Anolis sagrei: one gene and its partners. The protein of the gene in region 2 purifies or fractionates together with the protein of the main gene of each other region. This does not show direct contact. Links are inferred from orthologs where the notes say so. Each region holds a gene or a part of one and is shown on either strand. Other genes may lie near its edges. The genes, in order: PRKACB, PRKAR2A and AKAP8.

Evidence for each region.
Region 1: the proteins of PRKAR2A (region 2) and PRKACB purify together in Homo sapiens (affinity purification with mass spectrometry; 6 studies listed by BioGRID and IntAct, counting the BioPlex papers as one, with this or other methods). This does not show direct contact. The link is inferred for Anolis sagrei from reciprocal best matches to the Homo sapiens genes PRKAR2A and PRKACB.
Region 3: the proteins of PRKAR2A (region 2) and AKAP8 purify together in Homo sapiens (affinity purification with western blotting; 3 studies listed by BioGRID and IntAct, with this or other methods). This does not show direct contact. The link is inferred for Anolis sagrei from reciprocal best matches to the Homo sapiens genes PRKAR2A and AKAP8.

What each region holds. Positions count from the first base shown.
Region 1 is NC_090024.1:155,445,949-155,457,251, forward strand, and holds the start of PRKACB (cAMP-dependent protein kinase catalytic subunit beta), read right to left. Parts: upstream 4,951-11,303; 5' UTR 4,936-4,950; coding exon 4,749-4,935; intron 1-4,748. UniProt on the Homo sapiens protein: Mediates cAMP-dependent signaling triggered by receptor binding to GPCRs.
Region 2 is NC_090022.1:28,671,877-28,682,671, forward strand, and holds the start of PRKAR2A (cAMP-dependent protein kinase type II-alpha regulatory subunit), read left to right. Parts: upstream 1-5,636; 5' UTR 5,637-5,773; coding exon 5,774-6,044; intron 6,045-10,795. UniProt on the Homo sapiens protein: Regulatory subunit of the cAMP-dependent protein kinases involved in cAMP signaling in cells. Type II regulatory chains mediate membrane association by binding to anchoring proteins, including the MAP2 kinase.
Region 3 is NC_090022.1:127,269,994-127,280,901, reverse strand, and holds the start of AKAP8 (A-kinase anchor protein 8), read right to left. Parts: upstream 5,036-10,908; 5' UTR 4,959-5,035; coding exon 4,940-4,958; intron 1,656-4,939; coding exon 1,617-1,655; intron 1-1,616. Other genes in the region: AKAP8L (A-kinase anchor protein 8-like), read right to left, coding at 10,031-10,393. UniProt on the Homo sapiens protein: Anchoring protein that mediates the subcellular compartmentation of cAMP-dependent protein kinase (PKA type II).

The DNA of each region.
Region 1 (11,303 bases), on a different chromosome or scaffold from region 2:
GAGTACTATTAACTGAAGCACAAGATGTTTTGCAAAAAGGATATGTCAATTCAGCATAGGATTCTGCAATGTATTTTCTGCCAAACCAGCTGAAAATAGACCCCTTTCTTTCTCTTCTCAAAAAAGATATGACTTTAGTATTTTCTTTTCAAGATGTCCTGTGCTATAATGCATACCAAACTCCAAAAATGTACTCTTCACAGCTTGTATATCAGGCATGGGCAAACTTCAGCTCTCACAGTGTCTTGGACTTCAATTCCCACAATTCCTAACAGCCTAGCAGCTGGTTTGCCCATGCCTGTTGTATATGCTACACACAATTGTAAAGCCTACAGGGGAATAGAAAGTAAATCTCATATAACTCAATGGGACACTCTCCTGGAGTAATACACAGTGTTTCAACTAGCAAATTCTCAGTGAGGTATAAGAGCACTCACAACCCAGCTTTAAATCCAAATTCCAAATGATAAACAAAGCCCTAGAAGTAGCCTTTTTGATTGGACTTGTGGACAATATATCAGAAAAAAAATCATCATTAGAGAATTTGAGTTTGTTTATCCCTTAACATTATGATTTAACAATACACCTAAAACATTTATTTGGGGAAGAACCATTCAAAACTATCAGCATTGATTTGTTAAGATACAGCATCAAGCTCATTCCACAATTGCCACCCCTGAAATACTGCTGGAGATACATTTTCAGACAGACCTTGTTTACCTGAAACTGCAGATGTGATCAAACACCATTAGGTTACCTGACTTCTGAGCTTAGCACACCACAGAGTTGCACTGGAGGACCTAGAGATTTCTAGAAAAGTACCCTGTCTACCAATTTGCTAGGTCCCCAATCCATCACGACATTATGGTAACTTCCAAGAGAAGCATACGATAAAAGTGCACAGTAGGGTAATCAAATTCCTAGAGATACTGGGGTTTTTTTGCAGGTAAGTGAAACCATAGATATTAGTTCCGTGGTTACAGGATTCTTATTATATTATCCAGTGCATATTTTACGTTTCCCAGAAAAGTATGTGTTCTCTGTCCACCTGTGGACTTTTAATGACTGGCAATTGTCTAAATATTAAGTTCTTAATGGTGAAATTTGTAAAGCCTAGACTTAGTTGGCACAATTTCGTTAAAATGATGCAGATTCTGGTATGTGGCTCTTAGTAGCAGATGAAATTACTTTCACAACTGTGGAAGCATGTACACAATTCTACTTCTATCTTCATCCCAGTTTGGGAAAACAAAACCGATAAATGAGTTTTGAATGTACACATATTTCCCATCAGAAACAAGAAAGAATTCTATTTATATTGAACTCCACAGTAGCAAATTTTAAAGTTGAAACAGCATTGCAGAGCTGCAGAAAACAGTAAAATGTATTAAGCCCTTATAAAAACACATTTCAAAGGCATGCTCATTACTGTCTGTTTACATTCCAGCTGAACTCTATCTATAAATTACATTCTTTGGCTAATCTATGGGTAATCACAGTGCACACTGTTAGTTAGAAATGCAATTCAAAAGATCATATCCTCTGTGTTTATTCACTACCTGTTTCCTTGTCGAACAAGTCAGACAGCATGGCTTAAAATAGGGAAGGTCTCTCCACCATTTAAACATAAAATGAACTTCAATTAGCTCAAAAGCTCACAATCTTGTTCACATTCATAATCCTTAAAAGGCTAGCTCTGAAACTAGTGGCAACTCTCTCACTTTCCTTCTCTCACTCCATACCTGCATGTTTATATTCCTGGCAGGAGCCATCAAGGGCACTAATCTTGAACATAAGCACGTTTTACCCAGTCTGTTGGAGTTCTAGGCAGAAGTTAAAAAAAAAAAAAACCCCTGCAAGAATCCAAAATATCTGTGAAATGCTTTCCTCGAATGCTTTTTTTTTCATTTTGAGTGCCCATTTTCCTCTAAAAAAACAACAGGCCACAACATTGACATCATTTAATCCTGGCAGCCCCAGATAAACAGAAATATTTCAGTGGCAAATACATTAAATTAGACACAAGAGCCCAGCCTTCTCCTTTGTGATTTTTAAATTTTGTCCTGAAAAATTTAGAAGATTGTGATTTTTACCCATTTTTACATTATTTTGGTGGATATATATACACCGGGATTTCTCCCAGGAAAACATCTGTAATTTTCTTGTTAAGCTATTTCTCACGAACATCAATTTCTGACAAAGCAATGGAGAAAAGAAGGAAGCATGTAAAATCTCCAGAAATGGCAATAAATTCCAAAATTCCAATGCTGTTGTGTTGGTATGCAGCTAATAAGGTAAGATTAACATGGCCCAATCTTCTGCATCGCCGAAAGAAACAGCTTTTCATTTTCAGACCCCCAAATGCCCCAACCTATTACCAAGTCAATATAGAGTTTATGGTAGGGTATGGCATTGAGTATAGTATTAGTTAAACCTACCTTTATTAGTAATTCTCAAGCAACCAGAAACTATGCTTATCTGGCATTGACCATCCCCATGGATGTTGGATAACTGCAAGTCTACTATATAATCAATTGGTTATTTTAAAATAACATTGACAAATGTGTATATGTAAAAGCATTACCCTTATTGTTCATAACTAATTTTAATGTAAATGTAAACATATTGGGCAGAGGTTTGGTTCCAGGACTCCACATGGACACCAATATTTATAGATGTTCATTTCTTATTATGTACAGTGGCATTGTAAAATGGCAAAATTGGGGTTTGCTTTTGGAAATTTTATTATTTTTAGGAATATTTTTGAGCCACAGTTGGTTGAATCCATGGATACTGAATCCATCGATAAGGAAGGCTGACTAAGTTGTTCCAAACCCAGAACGAAAACCAAACAAACTCTCAATTCTCTGTAACAGAGTTTGACCAAAGCAGAATCTTCTTTATTTTGGTATATAAAATTAAAGCAAAAAAATGAAAGGTATCAATATACCTACATCTATAAATAAATAGGTGTAAGTGTTTACATTCTCAAATCTGTAATGAAAATATTATGGTTGCGTATTGTCAATATTATAGTCAATAATGTTGCTGTATGCCTTCAAGGCATTTCTGACTTGTGGTGACCCTATCAAGGGGGTTTTCTTGGTGAAGTTTGTTCAGGGATGGTTTACATGGACTTCCTTACATGGCCAATTGGGAATTCAGACCCAGGTCTTCCTATAGCCCTGTTCAATGTTCAAACTGCTATGTGAGGCTGGATTATCAATATTGTATAAAGTACTTTCCGTGACACTGTGGTTTAAAATTTGAATATAAAATATTACATTAAGAACCACTTCTGTGAAGAGCTTTCACTGCCTTTCACTCTTTCTCTCCCTCTCTCAAGCTAATTTATATCTCATGATTAGAGTAAAGCTAAAGTGACATTGTACTCCTTTGAGGAATGATATAGTAATTGTAGCAAACTAAATTTAGAACAAAATAATCTGGTAAACAGCAGCACTTTGTTTTGGAAAGTTAATGCATTTTAGTTAGCTTGGAAAACTACTTTTTTAAGAGTAGTCTTTATAATTTCAACGTAATTAGTAACAATTATATGATTAAAAGACAAAAAGTATTCATTGTACTTTTTGAATTTTCAAAAACAACAGCAGAAAATACTTTAAAAATACAAACACACAAATATTTAAAACCTCTGGTCTGTAGTGCAAAACACCATTTTCCCTGGGAGCTTCTTGCTTTCTTAAGAGCCGTAATACAACAAAAGGTAGCTGCAAAAGTACAACATGACCCAGCGTTGAAACTATCTGGCCATTTAGTAGATACAATCTTTTGACTATAAAGTAATGCTGCAAAAGGAGTGATGCTAGTAAGTTGCAAGTGTAGTTTAGCTATAATTCTGTTACTATAATCGGAAACTTGGGACCCTTCCACACAGACAGAATATCAAGGCAGAAAATCCCACAAGATCTGCTTTGAACTGGGTTATCTGAGTCTACACTGCCATATATTCCAGTTCAAAGCAGAAAATGTGAGATTTTATTGAGCTGTGTGGAAGGGGGCTGAGTTACAAATAACTAATTAATTTGAACTACATGCTGCCAAATCCTGCTTTTACTTATATTTTAATGTGTTATTATGAAGCAGTTGTGGTTTTAAAATATCAGCGAATGTAAAAGGAAAACAAATATCCAAACCAGTCAGATGTCATTAAGAGACTTGGTTCAATCTATAGATTTTTTAAAGTGTAATAGCAGAAAATATAACTAAGGTCTTCTAAAAAATTAAAGGTAGATTGGCTGGCTGTATAGAACAAGAGGAAATTTACTGGCTACAACCCTGGTTACCCCATTTTCCACACTGTACCAGTATTGCCCATTTGGGGCCCTAAATGGAAAAAGTGATTTCTATGTGACCTGCTTCAGTACATTTGCCATCCTTGTTGGACTGAATGTCCATTTGTTAGATCATGCTCCCTCCTCTGAAAGTTATAATATAAGGTAAGTGAACAATGAAAGGCCAGGATCGTATTGCTTTAGAAAGACAACTTGAAAGAAATGTGCATTTAAACGTCAAGGTAAAATCATGTAAAAGAATAAATTGACAAAAGGAAGTCTGATCATTAATTTTACTCCACCACCAGCAAGTGTTTCAAGAAACAGAACTACAGACTTGGATCCACCTGCTGATCATTTAACAGGCCAGTTTGGCTGTCAACATTTTTCTATATTTAGTATGCCACAGTTTAAAACTTGCCATTACAAACCAAGTAACCTCCACACACTTACTTGATCTCTCCCACAGTGCAGCGAGTTCAGAGAAGTGCGGAGACTCATTTTCCTGAGCTGCTTTCAGTTCGTTGGAGGAACCCTTGGAGTGCCTGTGAAAAAGCCTGTTGGCAAATCCTTCCAGTCTCTGCAAAGCATTTGCAGTCCCTGTGCTTGGGTTGCCCTGTAACTCCTTCTGAGCAGCCATCTATACACATTTAGTTTGTGTGTTAAAAGAAAGAAATAACTCCAAACTTAAGAATTCAACTTCAAAGCCAAGTGCTGTGCATGTGTCAGACTTCCTGTATGCAGTGCGTTAGCCACAACTGTTGTTCTGCTTCCTGTTAATATAAAACCAACTTCAAGAGCTATTCTCAGGCTCTCGATATCAGCTCAGTGTGGTGACGGGGGGGGGGGGGGGCAACATGACTTGTTTGCGTGCTTTCCCTCTTTCCCAAACAAGCCACATGATGTTGAGAACAAACACACTTGTTAAATTCAAAAAGGGCACTAGAAAACTGATTATGCAGACATCTATATGCATAAACGGATATTATATACCTAAAAGAGTTTGTGTTGAATTTTAACTTTTGGAAAAAGTTATTATCCATATTAAATCATACAATGGGCTTCTGCTACATATAGTGTAAGAAGGAGAAATATATTTTGAACAATCTGGGGAATGAATGGAATGCTTTTATGTCAACTTACTCAAAAGGCTACAAACTGTATAGTATGAAGATTTTATGTAAAATAATCTTTAGACTCCTCCATGTACATCATTCAGATCTGAGAAGCCCATATTTGTGATGATACAATGGACACTTGGTATCCACTGGGTTTGGTTCCAAACCCCATATGGATACCAAAAATTGGGGGTTCTCAAATTCCACTACATACAATGGTATAGTAATGTTTTTAATCCATGGGCGATTAAATCTATGGATGAAGAACCTACGGATACAGAACCTGTAGACACAGAGAGCTAACTGTATACACTTCTGAAGAGCTTATGACTTTCAGCATATTACAAGTCCATTTCAAAAAGTGTTAATGTATGAGCCTGTTTCTCTCCAAATAATTCACTTTATTTCATTACATAATATGTGGTTTCTATTTCCTCCTATTTCTCATATAGCAACAATCAAGATAAAGTACCATAGTTTGCAACTCTCTCTTTACTATAGCACATATTCATATTTCAACTTACAGAATACATGTATTCATCTTTTCAGATGTGATAAATATTGAACAAATAGTAGAATTTTATATAAGTTACTGAAAGAATTTTAGGAGCTTTCTATGTACTCAAAACTGCATAATTTCACTGGGCATACACAGTGAAGATGATATCTGAGCAGACATGTACAAGATTGCACTGTAAGTAAATTTGTTCTAATCTTGTAATTTTGCATGGATTTAGAACCAGCATGGTGTAGTAATTGCACATTAGAGTACAACTCTGGAGACAAGTGTTTGTATTCCTGCTCAGCCATGGAATCCCACTGGTGATCTTGGGCAAGTCACACACTCTCAGTCTCAGAAGGAGGCAAAACAAATCCCCTCTGAATAAATCTTGCCAAGAAAACCCCACCATAAGTTGGAAACAACATAGATTAGACACAACATCATGGCGCACAACAACAGCAACAACAACAACAAATGGTCAATAGTGCAAATACCTAGCATAGTTATCAGCAGAGAACACTAAACAGATATCGCCTAATGAATGCCTGGAGGAGGTAATGGGCTGGATGAGGAAAACACAATTGAAACTGAATCTAGACAAAACAGAGGTGTTTGCAATCAAGGACCTTAATCTGGGGTGGGGGTATGTTAACCAGTTCTGGATGGGGTTACACTCCCCTTGAAAGACTCTGCCCGCAGCTTGAGAGTGCTTCTGAATCAGTGTCTTCAAATATCAGGAGTACTATCAACTTTGTCTGATCCTCCAGCTGCACCCCTTCCTAGATTTGGAGGACCTAAAGATGGTAGTGTATGCGCCGGTAACCTCAAGGTTGGACTTCTGCAATGCGCTTTACATTGGACTACCCTTGTACCAAATTCGGAAACTCCAATTAGTTCACAATACAGCAGCCAGGAACATCCAGGAGTGAGCATATTATACCTATCCTAAAGTCACTCCACTGACTGCCAATTAGTTTCCAGGCAAAGTACAAAGGGTTGTTTTTAATCTTTAAAGCCCAGATTACCTAAAGGATCGCCTTCTTCCGTACAATCCACCCTAAACACTCAGGTCCTCTAAGGGGCGGCTACTCAGCCTGCCAGAACCTGACTGGCGACCATCACCCAGAGGATCCTTTCATCGGCCACCCCACAACTGTGGAACAACCTGCCAGAACAGCTCTGACAGAGAGATTAGCTGTCACAATTTAAAATACACTTGAAGACCTCTCTTCCAGCAGGCTGACCCAACCAGTTTAATTCATAATTTTTAAGCTTGCATGTTATGTTTAATCTTTGTTCTGTATATTTTAATACGTATTTTGTAGAAATATATTTTATATGTGTATTTTGTAGAATGTTTTTAGATGATTGTGTGTTTTAGAAATGTTGTTAGATGAAGTGGAGAGGGACAACTGCTGTTTAAAGAAAAAAAACAAAGTTTTTTTAAAGTGTGTATGCTCCTTAAGGTCTTAGGAGTGTCTAAAGTAGCTCTTTCAATCCCTGCTTATTACTAAAATCAAATAAAACATTAAAAACACAATTAATGCAAAAGAATGCTAAAATCAATTCAGGACTAACCATACCCTGTATCTCGCCAACAGAGCTTTTTAAAGCCATTGAGGAAGTCTTTCTTTAGCAAGAGAGCAATGTAAAGATGAGGCAGCAATGTTTCTATAAATAACAACGCCCAGAGGAAGTTGTTGCTATGGCAGCGCTGGCCACATTTCTATTTTAAATTCAGAAGATATCTGCTGGCATCTGCTGTTCAAAAGGTAAAAATGCAGTATACAAAGTTATCCTATTCAGTATACAAAGTTATCCTCAAAAGTAATTTGTGCTAGAGGAAAGAATTTTTTAAAAAATACAATGTACTAGGCACTTGGGCTGGGATCCAAAATTGGATACAGAATTGGAAGGCATAGTAAGGGATACCAGAGAGTCCTTCAATCCTCAAAGAGAGACATTTTCAGGGGGTGTGAGAGAAGGAAGAAGCAGGAAAGCTTTTTTCCATGAAAGGAACGTTATGTTCAAGGAATGGAAACTGGGGTGTTTTTTTTTCATGATAAAAAATGAAAAATACAGTATGAGTCACAGTGCAATTAACACAGAAACTTCAGCAAAAGGCTCAATGTATATAGAAAAGCAGCAGTCAAACAAAGGTCAGTGCAAACATTTAACCATATCCAGTCCCAGCAAAAACTTTTAACAAGTGCAAGATCTTTCAGCTATGTGCAGATGTAGCTGCACCATAATATTGAATAAAATCCCCTAAAGAGATCTACTACTACCATATTAACCAGTTTTTAGGTTTCCCAAAGTTTCGGGTGCATCAGTGCATCTAGGATTCCAGCAGTATCAACTGATTAAATATCCATCCATCCTTTTAGTTATATCCTGTGTTTCCCCTAGGCGGGGACTCAAGGCAACTTGCAAAAAAGACACACTAAATCCATATAGTTAAAAAAAATCTTAAAACAATACTGAATATTAACATAATTAAAACGAAATGGTCCATAACTCCATAAAAATTGGGGAAAATGTACAAAAACATGCAAAATAAATGTTGGAAAAGTGAAACTCAAGAGAGCACTTTCTACCACATGTGGTGGATGTGTAGCAAAGCAAAAAAATATTGGAAAGAGATTCAAGAAACATCTCAAAAAATCCTAAATATAAAAATAGAAATGAAATTAGAATATATTTCACCAGGAATAATGGACATAAATATAGATGAAAACAAGGATGGACTATTCAACAATTTAACAGCAGCAGCAAGAATAGTCTACGCAAGTTGTTGGAGAATAAAAGAAATACCCTCAGTACAACATTGACTAATAAAAGTGATGGAAATTATGAATATGGATAAATTGATGCAATTATTGTCAAAATACCAAGGAAGTCCAAAGCAAAGAATGGATTAGCAATTGTTTAAAGATTATATGACTCAAGAGAAAAAAAGTTTGAAAATATAAAACAATCTAATGTTTGACAGGAATTTTCCTGGAAAGGATGGAATAAAAAGGAGAAGCAAATTGGGGGGGGGGGGGGGGGAGACTGAGAATAAATATAACCACTACGAAGAAGATCGGAAGTCAATAGACTCTCCACTCCCATCCCCTTTTCCCTGCATCTACCCTTTTCCTTTCTTTCCTTGTTTCCCCCTATATTTCCATTTCCCTTCCTCCCCAGAACCCAACAATACCTTCACCTTACGTACCCCTAACCCATAGTGTTTCTTTTTATTATAGTGTTTAAAATATTACGTAAAATTTATACTGTAACGAAGCGTTAATCCCACCGCTTGTCAACCAAAAATGTAACGAAGCGTTAATCCCACCGCTTGTCAACAAAAATGTAAAGAAGCAGCGCTAATCTCACTAGATGCCACCAAAAATTATGTGAGGAAGCATCAATCTTCTTTAATGCCACCAATATTCTGTGAGGAACCTTCTTTTAAATATCTATTAAGCTGCCACCAATATGTTTAGAGACGCTGGTTTATGTCTCTGTTTATCTTTAGTTGGGTTGTGAGGTGATTTTGGTAGTGTGGAATGCACCAAGCATAACAGCAATGGAGGAGGCAGGTTTGAAATAAAAAGAGAACAAGTTTTATTGTTAACAGAACGTAATTGTTGCAGTTTTGAGAGTTTGAACTTGGCACAAGGCTTGATGTTACAAAATGGCTGGTTTGAGATACTTTCAGGCTTCTGAATGTTACAAATCTACAAACTCCTTCTTTAGTGAAGTGCTTATACTATTCCAGAGTTCCCTATTGTGAATGTCCACACTGTTTGCCCTATACTCGGAACAAACCACTGATCACCAGTCTTTCCTTACTGGCGATCCTTAAAACCCCCTCTGTTAGATTCTTTAACCTAAGCAATCTAACAAGGTAACACCTTCAGCTCTCTTGCTGAAGAAATATTCACAAATTCTAGGAACTACTGAATTCTCACAGCTTCACAACAGAGCCCTAACTGGGTCTCTTTCACCGGACTAAACTATTTTCCCCAGAGTCCTTTCTTGACTCTGCTATTTCCCAGAGCCCTTAACTGGCTCTGCTCTTCTCCGGGTCTCCTCCACCGGACTAGAGCTTAACTGCCACACTCCAACCTTTTTCTCCTTAAGCTCCGCCCACCTCCTCTTCTGCCTTGTCTTGTCACCATGGCAACCTATCCCTCACAGCTAGGCCATGGCAATAAATGTAATACATAAATGCAGTTTAAACACAGTACATTAAACACTCTATAATAAACATTATAAATACAGTTTAAACACATTATAAATAACACTTTATAATGAACACATCTCTACACCTTCCTCCCCAGAAATATTATTTTTGTATATTTCTTAATCCTAGAATAGCAAAAATAATCTCACATATTATTTAACAATATATACATATACATCAATTCTGAAAGGGAAACGCATCATAGTTAGGTACATTTCAACTATACATATATACAAACCTTTAACCTATGGAATTCTAGTATCATCTATGGATGTGGTATCAAAGTCTCACATTTTTATACTTATATATATATTCGTAAATATCTATTGCCTATTGTAAAACATATATACCTACCACACTTTAATATTACACTACCTTACACATACATTAGATTTTAAAAGCTAAATCCTTTTCCATGGAATCAGTATTGATGAAACACCTTCCAATGAAACTAACAGGCTAACACTAAACCTATATCTATATAGCTTACCTGAATAAAACTATCCTTGTCTAAATGTGTTTCTATCCCATTAACATATATAATTGACTTTCTACCTAGTCTGATCAATTTATAAGACATTTATCTATATACCATACCACAACTTTTTTCCATACATATGCTCCCACTTTGTTAATAGCCCACACAATAGTTAAACTCCCACATTTGATCATTGACATGTCTTAGTGTCCAATGTCCCATGGTTCAAACACAACCTCGGTTGTATTGGACCAACTGACCACAGCAATGTCTCTTTATGATGATCTTTTAGCTTCTTTCTTCCACTTCTTCGTTTCTTCTTTTTAGGTTTCTTCTTTTGTCTGACCTTCCAATTATCAGGAACAGTTCTGTTTCCATTGATTTTCAGGGCTTGAACAATGGCTTGCTTCCGTGAAGCATCAGGTTGTAGTGAATAATCTGGAATTCCTCGAGCATCTTTTCTTGGCACTGAAGAGAACTCACTGTCCTTGGAAGAACGAACACGAATATTGTCCTTCTTCATGGCAAGCTCATCACTGCTATCTGGACAAACTTCCAAAGCTAGAAATTGCAGCTTTTTCTTTTTATCATCACCAATATAGTCTGTGTATATTAGTTTTCTTGTCAGTCTATCAGCTTGGCTTTTATTCTCTCTTTCCTCTCCGTTCAAGGATAAAGG
Region 2 (10,795 bases):
TAGTAAAAATAATTTGTGGGCTAATAAGATTCATAACCCTGTTTCAAAGGTTCTCAGGAAGATATTAAGAATGGCTCAGACTTCGTTCTGTAGTTTCTTCCTCTCTCTTAGGGAAACAGTACTTGTTTATAGACTCTCCTATGGGGATTGTCAGATGCTGGATTAATGTAGTTTCTGCTTGCTTGAAAGTTACTATTAAAAAAGGCCTAACTATACCGCATACTATACCATACCATCAACTCTACAGTGACGTGATATTAATATTGTAGTGCAGTAATTAAAAGCAGTTTCGGCAGTAGGAATTGAAATCCAAAACATCTGGAGTTTGCCCATGCCTGGTGTAGATGCATCCCTATCTAGTCAGACTAGGATCAGGAGAAAGGAGTCCAATTTCTATTCAAAATGAGAAAGCTCACTGGATAACTCAGCAAGAGTTTTTAAACAATATTTCAGCATAGTTGCAATGATAAAACATGAGGAAGCAATGTATACAGCCACTGGTTAACTGGAGGAAGAGTAGAATAATACAATAAGGAAACATTTCCTATTCACCTATATCAGGGGTCCTCAAACTAAGGACCGAGGGCTGGATACGGCCCTCCAAGGTCATTTATCCGGCCCTCACTCAGGGTCAACCTAAGTCTGAAACGACTTGAAAACACACAACAACAACAACAACCCTATCTCATCAGCCAAAAGCAGGCCCACGCTTCCCATTGAAATACTAATAAGTTTATATTTGTTAATATTGTTCTTCATTTTAATTATTGTATTGTTTTAAAGTGTTTTTTGAACTACAAATAAGATATGTGCAGAGTACATAAGAATTCGTTCATGTTTTTTTCAAATTATAATCTGGCCCTTCAACAGTTTCAGGGACGTTTGAGGACCCCTGACCTACATCATCAATTTAGAGCAGGGGTCCTCAAACTTTTTAAACAGAGGGCCAGGTCACAGTCCCTCAAAGCCGGATTATAATTTGAAAAAAAATGAATGAATTCCTATGCACACTGCACATATCTTATTTGTAGTGCAAAAAACACCTAAAACAATACAATAATTAAAATGAAGAACAATTTTAACAAATATAAACTTATTAGTATTTCAATGGGAAGTGTGGGCCTGCTTTTGGCTGATGAGATACGATTGTTGTTGTGTGCTTTCAAGTCATTTCAGACTTAGGTTGACCTTGAGTGAGGGCTGGGTAAATGACCTTGGAGGGCCGTATCTGGCCCTTGGGCCTTAGTTTGAGGACTCCTGCTCTAAAACATTCTGTTTCTACTGACTTCTAAACTGTACTGTGTTCCTTCTGATGCAAGCATACAGACTTCTAAAAATGGAGTCTTGAGTCTGAACAATCCCAGATCTAATCATGTGGTCTGCAGCCCCTCCCATAACAAAGAGTTAAGGAAAACTGCATACCAACACACCTATACAGTACAGTAAGCAATCTGAATTATATACATAACAAATAACTATTATAGGAGGCATGTAGAAGGTCGCTATTTCCAACAATATGCGTACCATTAGTATCCTCTAAACCTGAGCTTTAAAAACGTTTTATGTTGGTGGCACACCTTTTAAGGTAAAGGTAAAGGTAATGGTTTCCCCCTGACATTAGGTCCAGTCATGTCCGACTCTCGGAGTTGGTGCTCATCTCAATTTCTAAGCTGAAGAGCCGGTGTTGTCCATAAACACCTCCAAGATCATGTTGCTGGCATGACTGCCTGGAGTGCCGTTACCTTCCTACCAGAGTGGTACCTATTGATCTACTCATACCATTCAGGCACATGCAATTTCGCAACACAGTAATTCAGGTAGACTAGCAAAATGGAGGTTCAACCAACCCCTTATAAGAGATACATACATGAATTGTAATAACGAAATCTATGGGGATACGTGTGCTGTCGCACGCTGGGCCTGTGCATATGACTGTAGACAGGACATAAATTCTGTGTGCCCAACGGGACGTCGGGGACGCCTCAGATTAAAGGCCCTTGGACCTCCCCAAAACAAAGTTCTGTAGAGGCTTAAAGTAAGTCCAACAAAGTTCTTTATTGATGAAAACAAACAGGTACATTCAAGCTTTCTTAACAGTCTATTGGCTCTTGCAATCTTGTTCACTGGGAACAGGCACTATCTTCATAACTGTATACTAACTAATGGGGAAATCCTTAACTTCTAATCTGGGCAGTTTGTACTTGCCTCTGTTGGTGTGGAGCCCCTGCACCCGGTACCAACTGCGTCTGGCTTCTGCGAGCAACCCTTACCAAGCAGAGCTTTGTAGACTTCCAGGGGGAAAGGATTCAGGCTTCCGTGATGGCTGACTGAAGTCCCCCAGCGAAGGAGCTGCAAGGCTGTATAACTCCAGTCAGGCTGTAGGCTGTATATCTCCCCGGCCAAGCCGTAGAAGACGAAGCTTTCTACAGGAGCTCTTGGTATTATGTCCTGCATGGAAAGCTGCTCTGTGTGGACTGAACTCAAAAAGGCTCCTATTCCCTCCAAAACTCAAAAAGGGGCGGGACCAGGGAACCTAACGATAATTGACAGGTGGTTTGCCCTATGATTGCAAACGATAACAGGAAGCCACCCTGCTGCAAAATCCCAAGCCTGGGATTGCAAACAAACATTTAATGCAAAGCAAACAGAATTGGAGCTCCTGGTACAACTGTACCAGCACACAACGTATCTCATGAAAACATTTCATTATATTTAGTTATATTTATTTATGGCTTATTTCACATAACTCAAATGTTTGTGTGACACATCTACTCACTGCAACAAATACACGAATGTGTCATGACAAACAGTTCGAAAATCTTTCCTCTGAGTGCTGAATTGGGTTTTTATTATTAAGAACTGATTATAAATATAATTATTTATACATCATTTATTTATTTATTTATTTCATCTCAGGCACAAAGATCCTAAATGACACACAACCTTTTAAAAAAAGACCCAATTTAAAAACTTGCAGAATATAAATGTTCAAATAGATTTAAATATACAGATATATATTTTGCACCCACTCTGGTTGCTTGGTTCAAGATGAATACCAGGCATCCATCAATACACAATAGTTGAGTCCTAGTCTGGAAGGGAAAAAACAGAATACAAAGAAGAGTGATTTGGGATGAATTCTTATGAATACTATGCTTTCAAGTCACTTGTCGGCTTAAAGCGACTCCATGAATTTCAAAGGGTTTTCTGAGACCTAATGATTAAAAACCAGAAGTGTGCCAATGTGTCATCCTCATGTCAAATGCTACACTGAAAATATAGGCAATTCTCCTCTTGTGAGATAAAATTTCAGATTTTAAAGCTGTGAAATAAATCTGGAAAATTAGGAGCTTCCGAAAGGTCCAAATTTGCAGGGAAAAGCTCCTCCAGCTTGCACATTACAGGCAAATGCCATTAATTTGACAAAGGGTCTGCTCTTTGGTCTGTTTCTTGGAAAAGTTCTTTTAAGCTTAATCACATATTCAGAAATGCTATACAGTAGATTATCAGTTAATTAATTTATTTATTTACAACATTTATATGCCACCCTTCTCACCCCGAAGGGAACTTAGGGTGACTTATAAGATATATACATACACACACACACACACACACACACTCACTATATTATTAGCATAGTACAATATCAGTATTAAATATTACTATATTGTACTATACCATATACTATATTGTACTATGGTGACGGCCGACAGGGAGCTCTGGTGTGGGCTGGTCCATGAGGTCACGAAGAGTCGGAGACGACTGAACGAATGAACAACAACAACTATACCATTATATTGTAGTATTATTAGTAATATGACATGTAATATAAATATATAATTGGAGCCCCTGGTGGCGCAGAGCCCCTGGTGGCTTCAGTCCCTGTGCCGGCAAGACTGAAGACCGACAGGTCGCAGGTTTGAATCCGGGGAGAGCACGGATGAGCTCCCTCTATCAGCTCCAGCTCCTCATGCGGGGACATGGGAGAAGCCTCCTTCTAGGATGGTAAAATAATCAAAACATTCGGGCATCCTCTTAGCAACGTTCTTGCAGACGGCCAATTCTCTCACACCAGAAGCGACTTGCAGTTTCTCAAGTCGCTCCTGACCCGACAAATATATATATATATATATACACACACACACACAAAGAAAATTATAATATATTATTAGTATTAGTTTTATAATGCATTACATTATATTATAAATATTATATGTATATAAAATATATTATATTATAAGAATAGTTAACCTGAACTCAAGCAAGGAATCAAAGAAATACTAATAATAATGTGTTGCCAAAGGCTTTCATGGCTGGAATCACTGGTTGCTGTGAGTTTTTCGAGCAGTATGGTTATAGAATCACGGGATTTGTAGTTTTGTGAGGCACCAGCACTCTTTGAGAGACAAGGCTAAACACCTTGTAAAACCACTCCAATACAATAGCATTGATTGAGCCATGAGTTAGTTGTCAAACCTTCCACGCATGCGCACTACGCACTTGGCCTCCTAGTCCTTTTGTCTGGTGACGCATTCTTTCCCCTGCTCACCATTTCACACCTCCCTCGAGGCCCCGCCCACAACTTCTGCATAGCCCCGCTCACAGACACACCTCTAATCCTCCGCCCCCTCTCCGCGGGTTCCTTCTGCACATGCGCAGAACATTTCTGCCTCTCTGTGGCGCTCACGCCTCCTTTTGTCCCGTGACGCACAATCCTTCAGTCCTCCCTAGCCCCGCCCACCACTGTATATCTTCGCGGCTTCCTCTTGCACATGCGCAACACAAGCACACTCGCTGTCTATAGCGTTCACGCCTTAGTCCTTTCTCAGCGTGCTCGCTTCTCCCCTTCGAAGCCACGCCTCCAATTAATTCATAGCCCCGCCCACTACACAGCTTTTTTTTTGTCCTGTCAGGAGCGACTTGAGAAACTGCAAGTCGCTTCTGGTGTGAGAGAATTGGCAGTCTGCAAGTCTGATTTGATGTTTTATCATCCTTGTGGGAGGCTTCTCTCATGTCCCCGCATGAGGAGCTGGAGCTGATAGAGGGAGAAGCTCATTTCGCCTCTCCCTGGATTCGAACCTGCGACCTGTCGGTCTTCATTTCTGTCGGCACAGGGGTTTAACCCACTGCGCCACTGGGGGCTACACAGCTTACTGGACCTTTTGCGCGGCTACCTCCTGCACATGCGCACTGCAAGCATACTCTCCGTCTATAGCGCTCACGCCTCCTTTTGCAGCTTGACGCGCCTCTCCATGTCTAGGCCACGCCTCCTCCTCTCTAGCCCCGCCCACCACACGCCTCTCCAGACCGTCTCCGCGGCTTCTTCCTACGCATGCGCACCGCAAGCACACCCGTCACATAGCGCTCACGCCTCCTTTTACAGCTTGAGGAACCTCTCCATTTCTAGGCCACGCCCACTCCTCCTCCCTAGCCCCGCCCACCAAGCGCAGCGCCGACTTTTTCCTGCGCATGCGCACCGCATGTAGCCCTCATGCCTTAGTGTCCTTTTGCTTCTCCCCATAGGAGGCCACGCCCCCTATTCCTCTTGTAGCCCCGCCCATCTCACACACCTCCTCCCTGCCTGGGCGCGCGCCGCGGCTTCCTGCTGGGCATGCGCAGACCTTGCTCGCTGTTGCGCGCCCGCGCTTGGCCCCTCCCCCGCTCCGTCCCTTTCTCTCCGTCGCGCGCGTGCCGGCTCCCGTAACGGCTCAGTCTGAGGAGGGAAGGGCAGAGAGAAGCAGCGGGCGCGGAGCCTCCCTTCGACGGCGCCAAGATGAGCATCGAAATTCCGCCGGGGTTGACGGAGCTGCTGCAGGGCTACACGGTGGAGGTGCTGAGGCACCGGCCGCCGGACCTGCTGGGCTTCGCCGCGGACTACTTCTGCCGCCTGAGGGACAGCCGAGACCAGCAGCTGAGGGAAGCGGCGGCGGCAGCGGCCTCCGCCCGGGGCAAAGGCGTCCTCTTCGACGGGGAGCCCATGCAGACAGAGTCCAACGGCGAGGAAGAGCGCAGGGAAGCCGAAGACTCGGACTCGGACTTTGAGCGTGAGTCAGGGAAGAGGAGGAGGAGGAGGAGGGCGGCCTAGGGCGCTCAGAATAGAAAATAGCCCCGCTTGCTTGCTTCCTTGCTTGCTTGCCTCCCTCCCCTCCTCGCGGCTATTTCATGGCGCACTCTTTATTATTATTATTATTGGTGTTATCCTCATCATCATTCTCATTATTGCGTCTTGCCTCAGGCGGGCGAGGGAGGGAGGGAGGGAGGCGGGAGAGAGGCAGCCTTTCTCAAGTCCCTTGTTGGACCAAACGGGTCGCCTCGGAAATGTGCCTCTGGAAAGCCACGAGAACTCGGTTGCCTTCTCTAGACCGGTGGCTTTCAAAGAAAAAAGGCCTGCACGTTTGTGGGCTTGGGGGAGACTTCTTCAGAGCTCCACGGTGGAAGAAAGGTGATGTTTGTATGTGTGTGTAGAGAGAGGGAAGTGTGTATCTCTCTAAAACTATATGTATAGGGAGAGGTGTATGTGTCTCTGTATATATATATATAGAGAGGGGGGGGGAGTGTACTTATATAAAGAGAGGTGTATGCATATATATATATATAGAGAGAGACAGAGGTGTATGCGTATATATATATAGAGAGAGAGAGAGGTGTATGGATGTATTTATATAGAGAGAGAGGTGTATGCGTATATATAGAGAGAGATAGAAGTGTATGAATGTATCAATATAGAAAGAGGTGTATGTGTATATATAGAGAGAGAGGTATATGGTTGTATTCATATATAGAGAGAGGTGTATGCATGTATATATTTATAGAGAGAGGTGTATGGATGTATTAATATGTAGAGAGCTGTATGTGTATATATATATAGAGAGAGAGAGAGAGAGGTGTATGGATCTATTAATATGTAGAGAGATGTATGTGTGTATATATATATATATAGAGAGAGAGAGAGAGGTGTAAGTGTATATATATAGAGAGAGAGAGGGAGAGAGAGGGAGGTGCATGAATGTGTATATATATAGAGAGAGAGGTGTATGAATGTATTTATGTAAAGAGGTATGTATGGAGATGTGTGTGTATATATACACACACACACGCACATATATATAGAGAGAGGTGTGTGTTTATATATCTGTGTGTGTATATGTATATATATATATATATATATATATATATTTATAGAGAGAGAGAGAGAGAGGTGTCTATATAGAGAGACCTATAGAGGTGTATAGCACCAGATCATATATTTTGACAAATAGATTTACGTGAAGCTTAAAAAGTGGGTCGGTGAGGATGTGTCAATTTATATATAGAGAGAATAGTGTGTGTGATTATATAGAGAAAGAAGAAGCTGTATATGTATATATAGAGGTGTCTGTTTATACATATATATATATAGAGAGAGAGAGAGAGAGAGAGAGAAGAGGTATGTGTAAGAATATATATCAATCGAGAGAGGTGATTATAAAGGAAATAGTATGTATAGATAGAAAGTGCGAGGGAGGTATGTGTATGACTATAAAATAGAGGGGTGTGTACATGTGTAATATATATATATATATATATATGGGTGTATACACACACATATACATATGGGGAGAGAGAAGGTATGTGTACGAATGTATATAAATAGAGATGTGTATATGTGTATATATAGAGGTTTGTATATATGTTTAGAGAGGGCTGTGTGTGTATATGTGTGTGTGTGTATACATATATGGTGGAAAGAGGGTGTATATGCACATTATATGTGCTGACTAAGTAATGTTGAGGAATGACTGCAAGATCTCTAGACGGTTGTGTGAGTGGTTTCTTTGCGCAGGGAATAGGAGGTGTGACCTTGTCTGTATGATGAGAAAAAGCGCAGTGAATATGGATGCTTTGTGTGTGCGTGTGTGTCCCCTTTATTTCTCCAGCCAGCTAACAAGCTTTATTTTTTTGACTCACCATTCTGTCCAAGGAAATAATGCCTTCCCTGTTCCATAGTCCTTTCATTATGTGTCCTATGTGGATTTTATTTCCACACCCACGTGCATGCTCTTTCTCTGTCTGTCACTTATTTTTTGTGGAGTGGGGAATCTTAACCTCAGTGCTGCAGTAATGTACATAACAATCCCTATGTGTGGTATGGGTCCTGCATGTTGTATAGTTGTCCTAATCCCTGTTGGATGGGTGTGTATATAATAGATTTCTCTCATATGTAGTAGAGAAGACTCTCATTCCCCCAGGGTTTGCACTAATGTGGTTAGAATCTTTTTAGGGAGATTGGGGAGGTTGGAGAGGAACGCACAAGTAGCAGTTTCTTTGTAGAAAGGTTGAATAGTTAGGGAATCTCTTCACTTCCCCGGGTCGGAATCTATCTATCTATCTATCTATCTATCTATCTATCTTGTAAGCTGCTCTGAGTCCCCTTCGGGGTGAGAAGGGCGGCATATAAATGCCGTAAATAAATAAATAAATAAATTTTACTCTGGCTTGTAATAATGGAACTTCTTGCAAATTGTACTTCTGAGCATTTAGGAAAATGTATAACAGTGTGTTGGGTAGATTTTAAAGAAAGAGAACAATTGTGTTAATTTTTCCCATCTCTCTTGTCCTGTTAGAATATTCTGAAGGGGGGAGGGTTATGTATTTAAATCTCACTTTCCAAAGAGAAAGCATACAATTATCACTTAGATTGTCATCACCTCTCTGTATCCACAGATTCCATCACCCGTTGCCTAAAATATTAAAGTATATATTTCTGTATCAATCTATATAAAGGATCTTGAGCGTGTGTGGATTTTCCTATCTACAGGAGTGTGCTGGAATCTAATCCCAGCAGGTACCAATGGGATTATGTCTACAGTTCAACTGTAGACATAGAACTTAAAAATCGACTGAAAGCTCAGAGAATTTACTTTCTAGTTCTGTACTAGATAGGATGGAAGAGCCAATTTCAGGACAAAGTTTGGATTAGGCTTCAGGATATTCCCATGACCTCGTTATGTCAAAATTTAAAGCATACTTTTGATGATTATTCTTAAGAGTAAAGAAGGATATACAGTAGTTGGCAGCCAGGATTGTGGACCAGGAATTCTTGGAGAATACTGTTCACTTCCCATGTCTGTTGACAAACCTTGGATATGTTTGATTCATGGTATTCTTCATTTCAAATTATAATAAGACAAAAGAAAGTAATTTTTAGATAAATTGTTGACTGGTGATGGTTGAACTGATGAGGTTGTGTATGGCTTTGGTTCTTGATTTGGAAGTATAGAAGTATGAGTGAAGAGTTATGACTTTGTATAGTGGGGAGAAATGGAAATACTATTTAATTTATACCTACCCTTTCTCCAAACAGAATTGAAGGTAGCTTAAAGGAGAGAACAAGGTAGAGAAATTACTTGAAACTACCAGAATAAGAAAAATGGAATTCTGTGTTGTTGAACTATTGACTACAAGTAGTAGGATATAATCAGTTTTCAAACTGAAGAAATGAAATGATACAGGGTTTATTCCCTGGTGTGATTGGTACAGTGCTGCATGTTTAAAATGCACATTAATTAAACTCAGAGGAAAAACATCACGATCTTACAGAATTATAATGAGTATTGAATGAACTATCCTTTACATTTTTCATTAGGGGACGTTTTTCCTTTAAGAGATTCAGTAGAATCTGTACAAGATGAGAGGATTTGGCAGGAATTGTGCTTTGTGTTGTTATGTAGTACAGGTTGTGCTTTTATTCCCCATACACTTTCTGTAATCTTTTAATAAAAAGATACTGATAGAATTTGACAGATAAACATGACAGTAATATTCCCTAGGACTGACAAAAGTAGCCACTAATTTTCACTTCTGGTGAATGGAAATGTAATAAGCGGATACCTATTTGGCAAAGTAAAATGCAGAGGCTAGACATATTTCCAAACTGGCTTCCAGATTTGTGTACAGACAACATGACTGTGATGCAACTACTACGTATGTATGTCTGTGTACCTTCAAGTTGCTTGTAAACCCATGATGATCCTATAAATTTCATAGGGTTTTCTTAAGCAAGGAGCACTTTGAGGTAGCTTTGGGAGTTAATGCCTCTGAAATGGACTCTAAAATACTAGGGTTGAATGACCAGGGCTGAATGACCCTACTTAGCTTCCATTATCAGATGGCACCTATGTAACTGGTTTTCAATAGCATTTAATTGCCTTTCTCCAGTGTTTTAGAAAAAGTAAATGGAAATCCACAAAAACCATGCTAAAAATGTCATGTTGTCATAGAATCATAGGGTTGGAAGAGGCCACAAGAATCACCTAGCCTCTACTTAAAAACCTCAGAAGGGGGAGACTCCATCATACTCTGAGGCAGAATACTCCACAGTTGAACATCAGGAAGTTGTTCCTAATGTTTAAGTAGATTTTTTTCTTGCAGTTTGAATCCATTGCTCCATATCATATTCATCAGAGCAGCATAAGACAAGTTTTCCCCCTCTTCAATGTGACATCCTTTCAAATATTTAAACATGACAACCTACTTTTCTCCAATCAAAACATATCCAGTCATTCCCCATAGGACTTGCATTTCCAAACCTTTGATCATTTTATTTGTCCTTCTGTGGACACATTTTAGCTTGTCAATATCTTTGAATTGTAGTCCCTAGAACTGGACACAGTTTTCCTTCTCCTTTGTTTTCATCATGAGAGTATGGAGTGTTGTACCCTTATGTTATTGCTTGCATTTTGCAAGATGTTGGTTGACAAAGCACTTCTCCATCTCATCCCTGTGTTGTGGAGCTAGCTTAGCTCCTTCCACAACT
Region 3 (10,908 bases), about 99 Mb from region 2:
ACAGATCCACACAAATGAAAATGGGCTTCATCACTAAAAAAAACAATAGCGTCCTCAGGAACAACTTTGAGAAGAACCTCACACGCGTTCCTCCAAGAATTGAAGTCACGTTCAGAAAGTTCCTGCACAATCACCATCTTGTAAGGATGGGAAATAAAGATCATCATGAAGAATTCTCCTCACAGAACGATCGGAAAGTCCAAGGGCAGACGCATGTTTGCGCGCAGAACGCCATGGTGATCGCAACATTGAAGCTCTCACTGCCTCAATGTTCTCAGGTGATCTAATGGGCCGAGGGACTCCAGTTCTTCATTTTGTCGCATTTGCAGTTTGTCTGAATGTAGTGACCCATGTCACAATTGATTTCCGGTCCGGGACAGGGGCCAATGGGGCTAAATTAAAGCGATTCCGAAAGGCACGCTGGGTTGCGATCACAGAACATCCGCTCGAAAAGTAGGCTTCAACGGCAAAAGCACGCTCCTCACTGTTCCAATGCATGATGGCGACTGAACTGTGTCAAGACAAAACTTTATACTCCAGCCTCTCGAACGAGACCACTAACGCTCCACTACGTTTTCAACCGACTGAATGGTGCACATTTTAAAAAAGGAAGTTATGCTGCCGCACCCTGTAGTATCCCATTCAAGTACTAATTAGAGCTGACGCTGCTTAGCTTCCAAAAGCAGATGGAACCTGGTTCCATGCAGGTATTTAGGTCCAGATATTAAATAGAAAAGGTAAAGGTTTCCCTTGACATTAAATCTAGTCGTGCCCAACACTGGGGTGTGGTGCTCATCTCCATTTCTAAGCTGAAAAGCCGGCATTGTACATAGACACCTCCTAGATCATGTGGCCAGCGTGACTGCATGGAAAGTTGTTACCTTTCTACAGAAGCAGTTCCTATTCATCTATTCACATTTGCATGTTTTTGAATTGCTAGGTTGGCAGAAGCTGGGGCTAACGGCAGGAGCTCACCCCACTCCCCAGATTCAAACTGCCAACCTTTTGGTCAGCAAGTTCAGCACCTCAGTGGTTTAACCCATTGCACCACCAGGGGGCGCATAAATACAGCTCTAAATCCCACTGTCAGTTCCACCAAGTTGTCCCACTGATTCAACTACTAGATATTAAGTTGAATATTTTTACACAGCCCAATAAAAAACACTTTCTTGGTGTCTTGGGCACGGATTCAGAAAACTGCACTGGATATACTGCAACAGCTCTAATTTCTTAGATATAATTTATCATGGTTTTCCATAGGCAAGTAGATGATGACTGGCATGTTTTGTATCTCAAAATATTGAGCTGATAAGGGGGAAACTGCTACCATTTATGGAATCAGCAGATCAAGTATTTCCAGAAACATACCTAACATTTGATACAAAAAAATATATGCTGGGCAGTATAATGAGTCTACCAAGGTCTAGTGATTGGATTTAGGGCCAAGAGTTCAAAAGAAAAAAAATGAAATCAAGTACAGTTCAAAAGGTAAGAATGAATATCAGTTCACTCTTCTAAAAATGTTATTTGTGATTGAGTTTAACATTGGCATTTTTATGGTCAACACTATTAGTCATTATTTTTCTTTTTTCTATCTATGAAGGTCAATGACATACCTTGAGTATTTGAGGTATCAGTACCCCAGGAGCCATAACCTGTAAGGCAAATATTTAATGGGTCATTCATACAAGTAAAAATTCCACTGCTCACTTTGTTTGGGACTTCTATATCACTGTTTTATTGCTTTTCTTAATACAAGGCCTTTACGTTACAGCCCCTGTAACTAAACCTATAGCATATAATATTTTAAGCCATTTAAATAAAGAGTAACGAACTCGATGCCTTCCAAATATTTTGGCTTACAACTCTAAACAGTCTGACCCAACATAGCCAAAGCTACTGAATGCACTACTGAAGTTTGGAGGGGCTAAAGAAAGAACAAGACTCACAAAACCCAACTGCAAGGAAACCACTGAAAAAAAAACCAGCAAAAAACTCGTCTACTTTTTCAAGGCATTTTTTGGAGGAAGGTATTCCAAATTTTCTGGCTCTTATAAACAAATTCAGTTTCGAATGTCTAACTTCTGAATGTTGAAACTACATTATTTTACACAATTCTGTTTTACAACTATCCCATGAGTGACTCATTAGCGCAATCCTATGCATCTTACTTTATTTCTAAAAATAAGTCTTAGTAAGGGTAGAGTAATTAATACATTTTCCAAAAAAAAAAAAAAAATCATTCAAGGTTTCCCCTCATTCTTCTACCAAATGAAAATTTATCACTTATGTACCTGTAAAAATTGCTATTCATACTTTGTATTTAAAGGTAATAAATAGAAAGTGTGATGTGTAATGTGACTATAGGCAGTCTTCGACTTACGAACATCCAACCTACAATCAACTGATAGTGAAAAATGGGGGTGAGATAACAGGAAGTGAGAGAAATCTACCCATAGGAAGGGAAATTCACAACTGAAAGAATTGAAAGGTGTCTCCACTAAAGCTTTATCACTAATCCTTGTTTCCACAATAAGCCCAATTTTCACAGGGACAGAAACGGAGGGGAATTCTTCTGAACAGTAATTTTAACCAACTCTAATGTTGCTTGGCCACACCTATCCCGGTTTTCTTCTGTGAAATGTTGGTGGGTGTGAACTTGCTGAGAAGAGATATTACTGTCAAATTCTCCCTTGCTGGTATATCCCACACCACAAGTTGTAGAGTTGCCCAATGAGTTGCCCAATGACATATATCCCCACCCCAAGTCCTAGTAGCACCTTAGCATAACTAATCGTCGCTGCACACCGCACTTTTATCCTACGTGCCTCCTGCCATTTCAGCACTTTTACCCCTTGTACCCCAGTGCGCCGGCCGAACCAGTTTTTAATAATGTCTTGATGTACTGCCATTGTCGTTATTTTGCTTATTGTTTTGATTTGCTTTGCTATTGTTGTGTTATGTTCTCTATTGTATTGTGTTTTGAGGCTTCGGCCTGTGTAAGCCGCATCGAGTCCTTCGGGAGATGCTAGCGGGGTACAAATAAAGTTAATAATAATAATAATAATAATAATAATAATAATAATACAACAGTTCAACATGCAAATGCCCCCAGACTGTTATCATTTGCATGCCAAGGAACACTTTATTTGCCATAGGGATTGGCATGTTAGTAACCCATGGCAACCCCTTGAATTTTATAGGGTTTTCTTAGGCAAGGAATACTCAAAGGTGGTTTTGCCAGTTCTTTCCTCCGAAAGACAGCCTACAGCATCTGGTATGTGTTGGCAGACTCCTATCCAAATATAATGAAGCAATCCTTATCTGGAATTCTAACATATTCTAAACCTGCACATATGGTGGCTGAAGTAGTGACATCTTTGCCTACTAATAGTTCAATTACAAATACTGTTTCATATACAGAATTGTTAAAACGGTTGTGTATAATATTAACTTCAGGTTGTTATGTAAGGTGTGTATGAAATATACATGGATTTAGTATTTACTTTTGTTTCTCACCTCTAAGATATTTCATTAGGTACATGTATGCAAATATAAATATTTTAAATCTGAATCCCAAACACTTCTGGGGCACACCTATGCTGCAGAATGAATGCACCTTGACAACACTTGAACTGCCATGGCTCAGTGCTACGGAATCATGGGAATTGTAGTTTGGTGCGGCATTAGCACCCTTTGGCAGAGAAAGCTAAAGGGTTGTGACATTCTTGAGTTATGCTCCATCTTATTTATTATGCCTTGTTTTGTTTTTGGTTATTTAAATTGTTTTACTTGTTATGTGCTTTATTATTATTATTGATGTTATTGGGTTGTTGTAGATTTTTTTCGGGCTATAGGCCATGTTCTAGAGGCATTCTCTCCTGACGTTTCGCCTGCATCTATGTCAAGCATCCTCAGAGGTTCTTGGGGGTTTTTTTTGGCAGTCTGCAAGGACGTTGCCCAGGGGACACCTGGATGTCCCTGTATGGTAAGCTGGAGCTGATAGAGGGAGCTCACCCGTGCTCTCCCCAGATTCGAACCTGTGACCTGTTGGTCTTCAGTCCTGCCAGCACATGGGTTTAACCCACTGCGCCACCGGGGGCTCCATCCTCAGAGGTAATGAGACCTCACTACCTATGAGGATGCTTGCCATAGATGCAGGCGAAACGTCAGGAGATAATGCCTGTAGAACATGGCATATAGCCCACAAAAAACCTACAACAACCCAGTGATCCCAGCCTTCGACAATGCACTGATGTTATTGTTTTGTTATGAGTCGCCCCGAGTTCCTTTTGGGAGATGGGGCGGGATATAAATAAAGCTTCATCCATTCATTCGTGAAACTACAACTACCATACATTGAGCTGCGACAGCCAGTGGTATCAAGTTGCATTAGTTCTACTGTGTGTAGTTGCAAACCTGATCCCAGATATTTCGGGAAAATGACCTGTACTAACTAGGGCCGCTTAGTTTCCAAGACCAGACAAGATCTGGTGCCTTTGGGGAGTTTAGGCCAGATGCCTGTCACAAAAATGACGCTGGCGACCTTGCAGTTAACATTTCGCTCGAAGGGGAGGTTTGAGGAACTGGCCAAAAGAGACAAGACCCAGGACCCGGTTCTCAAAGCCAACCTACAGAAAAAGCGCCCTGACGCAGAGAATAATCCGCCTCCGCGCCATTTTGTGCCGCTTTCGCTCACAGACCTCAGGCCCCGCCTCCCTCGCAGACCACAATCCGCGCGCCAAGCAGCTCTCCAGTCACAAAGCGAGACTTGGTGAGAGACAACCTCGGGGCCCAATCAACGCCGCTCGCTGCTTAACGGCCAACGGGGAATGCGGCGAGGCCCAGGCTGGGCGCACAACTGTGGGGGACGCTTCCCGGAGGCGCAGGGCTTCCTGACCCCAGGCTTGTCCCTCCTGCCCGACCGGGCCCCACTCACCGTAGCCGCCCTGCTCCATGGCTTCCGCGCCGCCGGCCTGCCACAGCGAAGACCTAACCTGTACCCTGACGGCGCGAGCGCCACAGGCCGGCGGGGATTGGCTACTGCAGGAGGGGCCGGTGGATTTCGATTGGCCGGAATGTCAGAGTCCCACCCAATGAGGATCCCACGAGTGACTTCCCCCTCCCACATTGCTTGTTGCTTCCCCCTCCCACAAGGCCAGCTGTCAAGAGGCGCCTCTCTCAACACCAGTGGGCCTTAAACCAAGAGAGTGAAACTGAAAGTAAAAAGGAATCAAAATCCTAATGACGGAACGAAACAGCATTCAGAGGGCCCTTCCAGACAGGCCCTATATCCCAGGATCTGATCCCAGATTTCTATTTATCCCAGATTAACTGGCAGTGGGGACTCATATAATCCAGTTTAAAGCAGAAAACCTGGGATCAGATCCTGGGATATAGGGCCTGTCTGGAAGGGTCCAGAGTTGGTTTCTGCCTTTTAACAATTCATAATAACCAGAATATTGCCAAACCTGTGCGCCCACTCTCTCAAAACAGCCCCTTCTGTTACTGAAATTACTCCCAAGGGGCACAGGACTGGTAATTCTATCTGTTCTGGCCCAACTTACATGTCCGAACACATCTCCCCTTATGAGCCATCTAGGACCTTAAGATCATCTGAGGAGGCCCTGTTCTCATTACCGCCTTCTTCAGAAGTATGTTTGGTGGAGACGAGACAGGGCCTTCTCGGTAGTGGCCCCTCAGCTGTGGAACATCCTCCCTATAGATATTAGATTGGCCACTTCCCTTTTAACATTCCGGAAAAAAGTCAAGACGTGGCTTTTTGAACAAGCGTTTCCAAATGCAGAGTAACTGACATAGGAAAAAGCAATGGTAAAAGTCTTCGCTGAAACCATTAGGAACTGCATGCAGCCCCAGGGTACAGTTTGCCCTCCCAGGCAGAGGATGGTTAGTTGCATCTGTATAGAAACTGCAGCCCTTCCCTACAAAGATAAGACTGGGATAACATAAGGCAGGGATAGAGACTGCATGAGGGAGCAGTCTAGAGATCCTTTATAAACCATGTTCATTTCTCGTGGACAGATTATAGTTGAAAGAGAGAGAGGACTAAACTAAAGTACAAGGATGCAGAAGCTGGTTGTCCCCAAATTAAAGTACTTATACACAAAGTTGAACTCAGACATCCTATATAGTTGGAAGTGTGTTCATACGTTTTTCATGGAACCTAATTCCTATTAGATGTGTTATAGTCAAATACAGCTTTTTTGTGCAGTTTAGCAAGCAATGAATTAATACGACACTACTGCTCAGTAAAATCAATGACTGCTTTTCAAACTAATGGAAACTTTATAAATTTTGAGTCACATGAAAGCTCAAATTATAACAAATTCCCTAGGTTTTTCTGAATCACTGCCAGGCAATCACATCTTGATCCAGCCTCATTTTATATAGACAGAGAACTAACTCATGACAAATGACAATGAGTTTAAAAGGCGACGTACAAAATTAACATTCTGATACAGCAATACAGTTAATAACATTTAAGCAGGAAACTAATCTGTACAATATCCGAAGCATAAGAAACAGAGGCATGTACATTATCTGCTTATCATGAACAACACTAAAGAGTTGTTGCAGTGATAGAAGCTAAATCTGTCAAATTTTTACAATAGCTTTCTCTGTTGTGAGTAAACAGAGCTCTATGCTTTAGACAGGGAAATGACTCTTATTCATAACAGACGGATGTGATGTTATGCCATAGATCTTAATGCCATAAATCTTAGTCTGGTTGCTCCTAGGATTTAGTTCCCAGCCTGTATTCTGAAGGGACAGTTCCACCTTCCCCCATTTAATATGTAAGAATGAAAACCGAAACCAGAATGTGATGAGTGACTTGCATTATGATGGGCATATCTACATTGGATTTATCATCATTACAGTAATACCATTTTAATCAGAGCTAGGTAGAAGACCTTTCTCTCAGACATCCTGTTCCAAAAAAAACTTCCTCTTGAGAAATTATTGTAGATCCAGAATTGCTGTTATATTTATTCCCTCTTCCACAGAGATATCCTTTCTTCTGCTCATACATCTGTACCCAAAAAATCTGAGTAGCAGAAATGTTTGCAATATCCTGGGCCTTTAGTAAAATCAATTATTTTAACACAACTCACTCAGTCTTCTATCTATTAGCCTTAAATTAAGTGCAATTGGCCATCCACATTCCCAAGTTTGACTTTTGCAGATTTAATTAAAATAGTCTCTCTAGGAATCTGATGGAAGTTGATCATAGAGTCATACTAGATAACCAATGGGTTCCTAGATTTTTTTGCTCAGAGGAAAAATGATGTTTTTAAATTAATGTTTTTTCCACCTTTAAGGGGATCCTATCCCCCTAACCTCTGTAAATGTGGAAGGCCCAATATAATAGCATAGGAGTCTCTAATTAAAAATATTAAGAGACCCATGATTAGAATCTTGAGTGGTTTTTGATTAACAAAATTATTTTTATTAGCAGGTATTGTAACTAACTTTGTCTAGCCGTTTCCGACTCGGAGGGTTGGTGCTCATCTCCATTTCTAAGCCAAAGAGCTGACATTGTCCGTAGACACATCCAAGGTCATGTGGCCGGCATGACTCCATGGAGCGCCATTACCTTCCTACTGGAGCGGTACCTATTGATCTACTCACATTTGCATGTTTTCTAACTGCTAGGTGGGCAGAAGCTGGGGCTAATAGCGGGAGCACACTCTGTTACCCGGATTCGAACCACCAACCTTTTGGTCAGCAAATTCAGCAGCTCAGCAGTTTAACCCGCTGCAGCACCAGAAGAAATGTTATGATTCCTTAGCAAAAATTGTCGTCCCCCCCCCCCCCCAATCACCCAATAAGTAAGAACTTTTGAAGTCCCCAGGGTATCAGTTGAAAAATTCAGCACTAAACTAAGTCATATATTTGTTAAGTACATTGAGAAATAAATGTACGTACCTGATGTTACTATATAATGCAGAAAAGTTTCATCTCATTCTTGTAGAGAAACAAATAGCCTCATCCTGTGCATGTTTACTAAAAATGTAATGAGTTATCTATTACTCAAAAATCTCAATAAAGTTGTACCTTAATATTGCGTTGTCTTTCAAAAAAAATATGCAGGATTAGGCTTCATGATGGAAGTTGCAGGCCATCAGACTGGAGAACAGAGGCTGCCTACCTTGACTTTGGTCCTAGCAACCTCTGTCATTGTTAGTCATTGCAACAGAACCTACACAACCTACACAAAAGCCTACCAAATGTTCTTTTCTTAAACAGTAAGCATTTTTCAAGATGCTTGTTACTGGTAATTTTGTATTTGCAATTTATTTTCAAAAACATCTCACATTTCAGGATAGGTCAGGGCTACTCCAGTAGTTACACATTTTGAAGGAAAAGCTTTATTCTTCAATATTTCTATTCCTGTAGATGCCAGTACATTTCACATTTGACTCACAATATCTTCTTCCATATGTCTTTCACTGGCATATAGTAGCTCTAGAACAAGGCTTCTTAAACCTTTTTCACTCACAACCCCTTTTGATCCAAGAATTTTTACGTGATCCCAGGTATATAGATATGCAAAACAGGTATAAAAAAACAAACATTTACTGATAATAAATCAGCATCTGCAAGGGTTGATTTTCCTTTTAATGAAGTGCACCTGAAACATTTTTGTGGCATCCACGGCAAACATTGCACAATAGGTTTGTGTAAATGAATATATTTTTTTACTGTAACCAATTTTATGGGATCCCCAACGTGGAGCTAAGATGATTCCATTTGGGGTCAGGACCCACAGTTTAAGAAGCAGTGATCTAGAGCTGAAGGCAGCAGAGTGCTTGGTGGTACCAAATCTTTTGCCCCACTTACAACAGTTCCTTCATTTATCACTGCCTTGTCTGATGTAGCAGTTGAGCATAAAAACATGTCCATGATATTCTTCCGGTTGATTTCTACTGCAAGAAAAATGCATGTACACACACATACACACAAAAGCACAGGATAATACATTGAGAATGAATGAAGCAGTGACAGTTGTACGACTATTCCTTTGTGAGCAGTTTTACAGAGGTTGGTGAAATTAAAAGAAATCTATGGCATTATTGCCAGTTTCCTCCCCGTAGCACAGTGAAGCAGTATCGCACTGTTCAAGAATGAACTGTGGAAGGTTTTACAATGAGACAACTGTGAAGCACTGCATTGAAGGGAATATTTAATGTTTCTTTAACACTCTTCATTGATAGGTTCCATATGGCCTACTGTAGCCTTCCTTTACACAACAGCAATCTAAGCCAAGTAGTGTCAATGATGTCCTTTAAACATTGTCTGGACAAAACTCAAAAGAAGTAATACCAAACTGCTTTTTAAGAAGGTGCCAGGATACATTTCCCCCTCTCTCAGACTTCCTGAACATCTATTACATGCTGCTTCTTTCAGAAATCCACACATATAGGTAGTATAGTGCTTTATCTCCACTCCTTGGAAATATTCACCTTAAATAAAAGCACTGCAAAACTATTGTGCTGATCTCCAAAGTATTAAGAGTTGTATATTAAAAGAAAAAGGACAAATGAATGCTACAGTTCCATGGAAGTTACTTGAATTGCAAGAAATTTAAAACTCAGAACTCTGCTACTGACATTTCCAGACAAGGCTACCTAGGGAACAAAACCATTTTCAACTATATACAGAATTAAAGAGAGGCCCAGAGGATGTTTATCTTCCCAGGTTGTAATATGGTACAGGCGAATAAACAGAATTTGGTTTTGATTATTTACTAAAAAAAAAAAAAAGTATTTATCCTAGTACAAAGCCACTTAAAAATTGTACTGCACAAAGTCTATCTAATACAATGAAGATTTGGTTAAAAAAGCTATCTCCAAAAACACTTTATAGATAAAGGCTTTCAAGTGCTGTAACTAGGTGAAATGTAGTTAATGGGAACCAAAAGCTGCGTGCCATGAAGTGTCACAAATACAGTTATGGTTTTAAAATTTTTAATGCAGAGTCTCAAAATGCTTTTATTTTCTTCACAAGTTCATTCATCAGGTGGTTCCATCTCTTCTGATGGAATGATTCCTCTTCTTTCTTCCTCTTCTTCTTCTTCCTCATTATCATCATCATGCTCTTGCTCCTTTGCAAGGGCTTCCTGGGATGTTTTCAAGTTCGACTCTTCCATTTGTCCTGACGGTTCTCCTCCTTCACCTTCACCATCTTTATTTTCTGCATTGCCTTCTTCTGCTGGATTTTCCTCAGTCAGACTGTCACCGCCTTTAGCTTCCTCTTCTGTCTTGTTTTCTTCACCTTCAGCAGCTCCTTCCTCCATGACCCCACTTGTTCTTGCCTCACTTTCCTCATGCTCCTCTTTTTCTTCAGGGTCATCTGTAAAAGGATTCTCACCCTGAAAACAAAAACAGAGCCATGTAGAACTCACTGTTCATTTATTTTTATTTACCAATATTTATTTTTGCCAACTGTGGAAAGAAGTGTGCACTAATACTAATAGAGAGCTGGATAAAAAAATGAAATGATGTAATGGAACAAGCACATGAAAACAACAGTGCAACAATGTGGGCAACTTTGGAAGGTCCAAGGAGCAATTTTCCACCACCTGCCCAGACACATCACAAACCATAGACACTCTTCCTGTTCAGAAGTTTCTTTCCATTACAGAAACATTATTAAAACTCTTTTTGAACCCAGTGTTGAATTTTGAGGGAGAGACGTGCTTCCTGGAGTGTGATTCTATATAATTTCATTTTTCTAGGTGTTGCCAACTTGTGGTGTGACTGCATTTTACCATCCCTGTTATATAATATTGAGAATACTGTACTCAGACAATTTTCTGCCTTGGTTTAAGCCAGAAATGGTGAATCAAAGCTCTTACGTGTTTTGTTGAATTCCAGTTTCCATAAA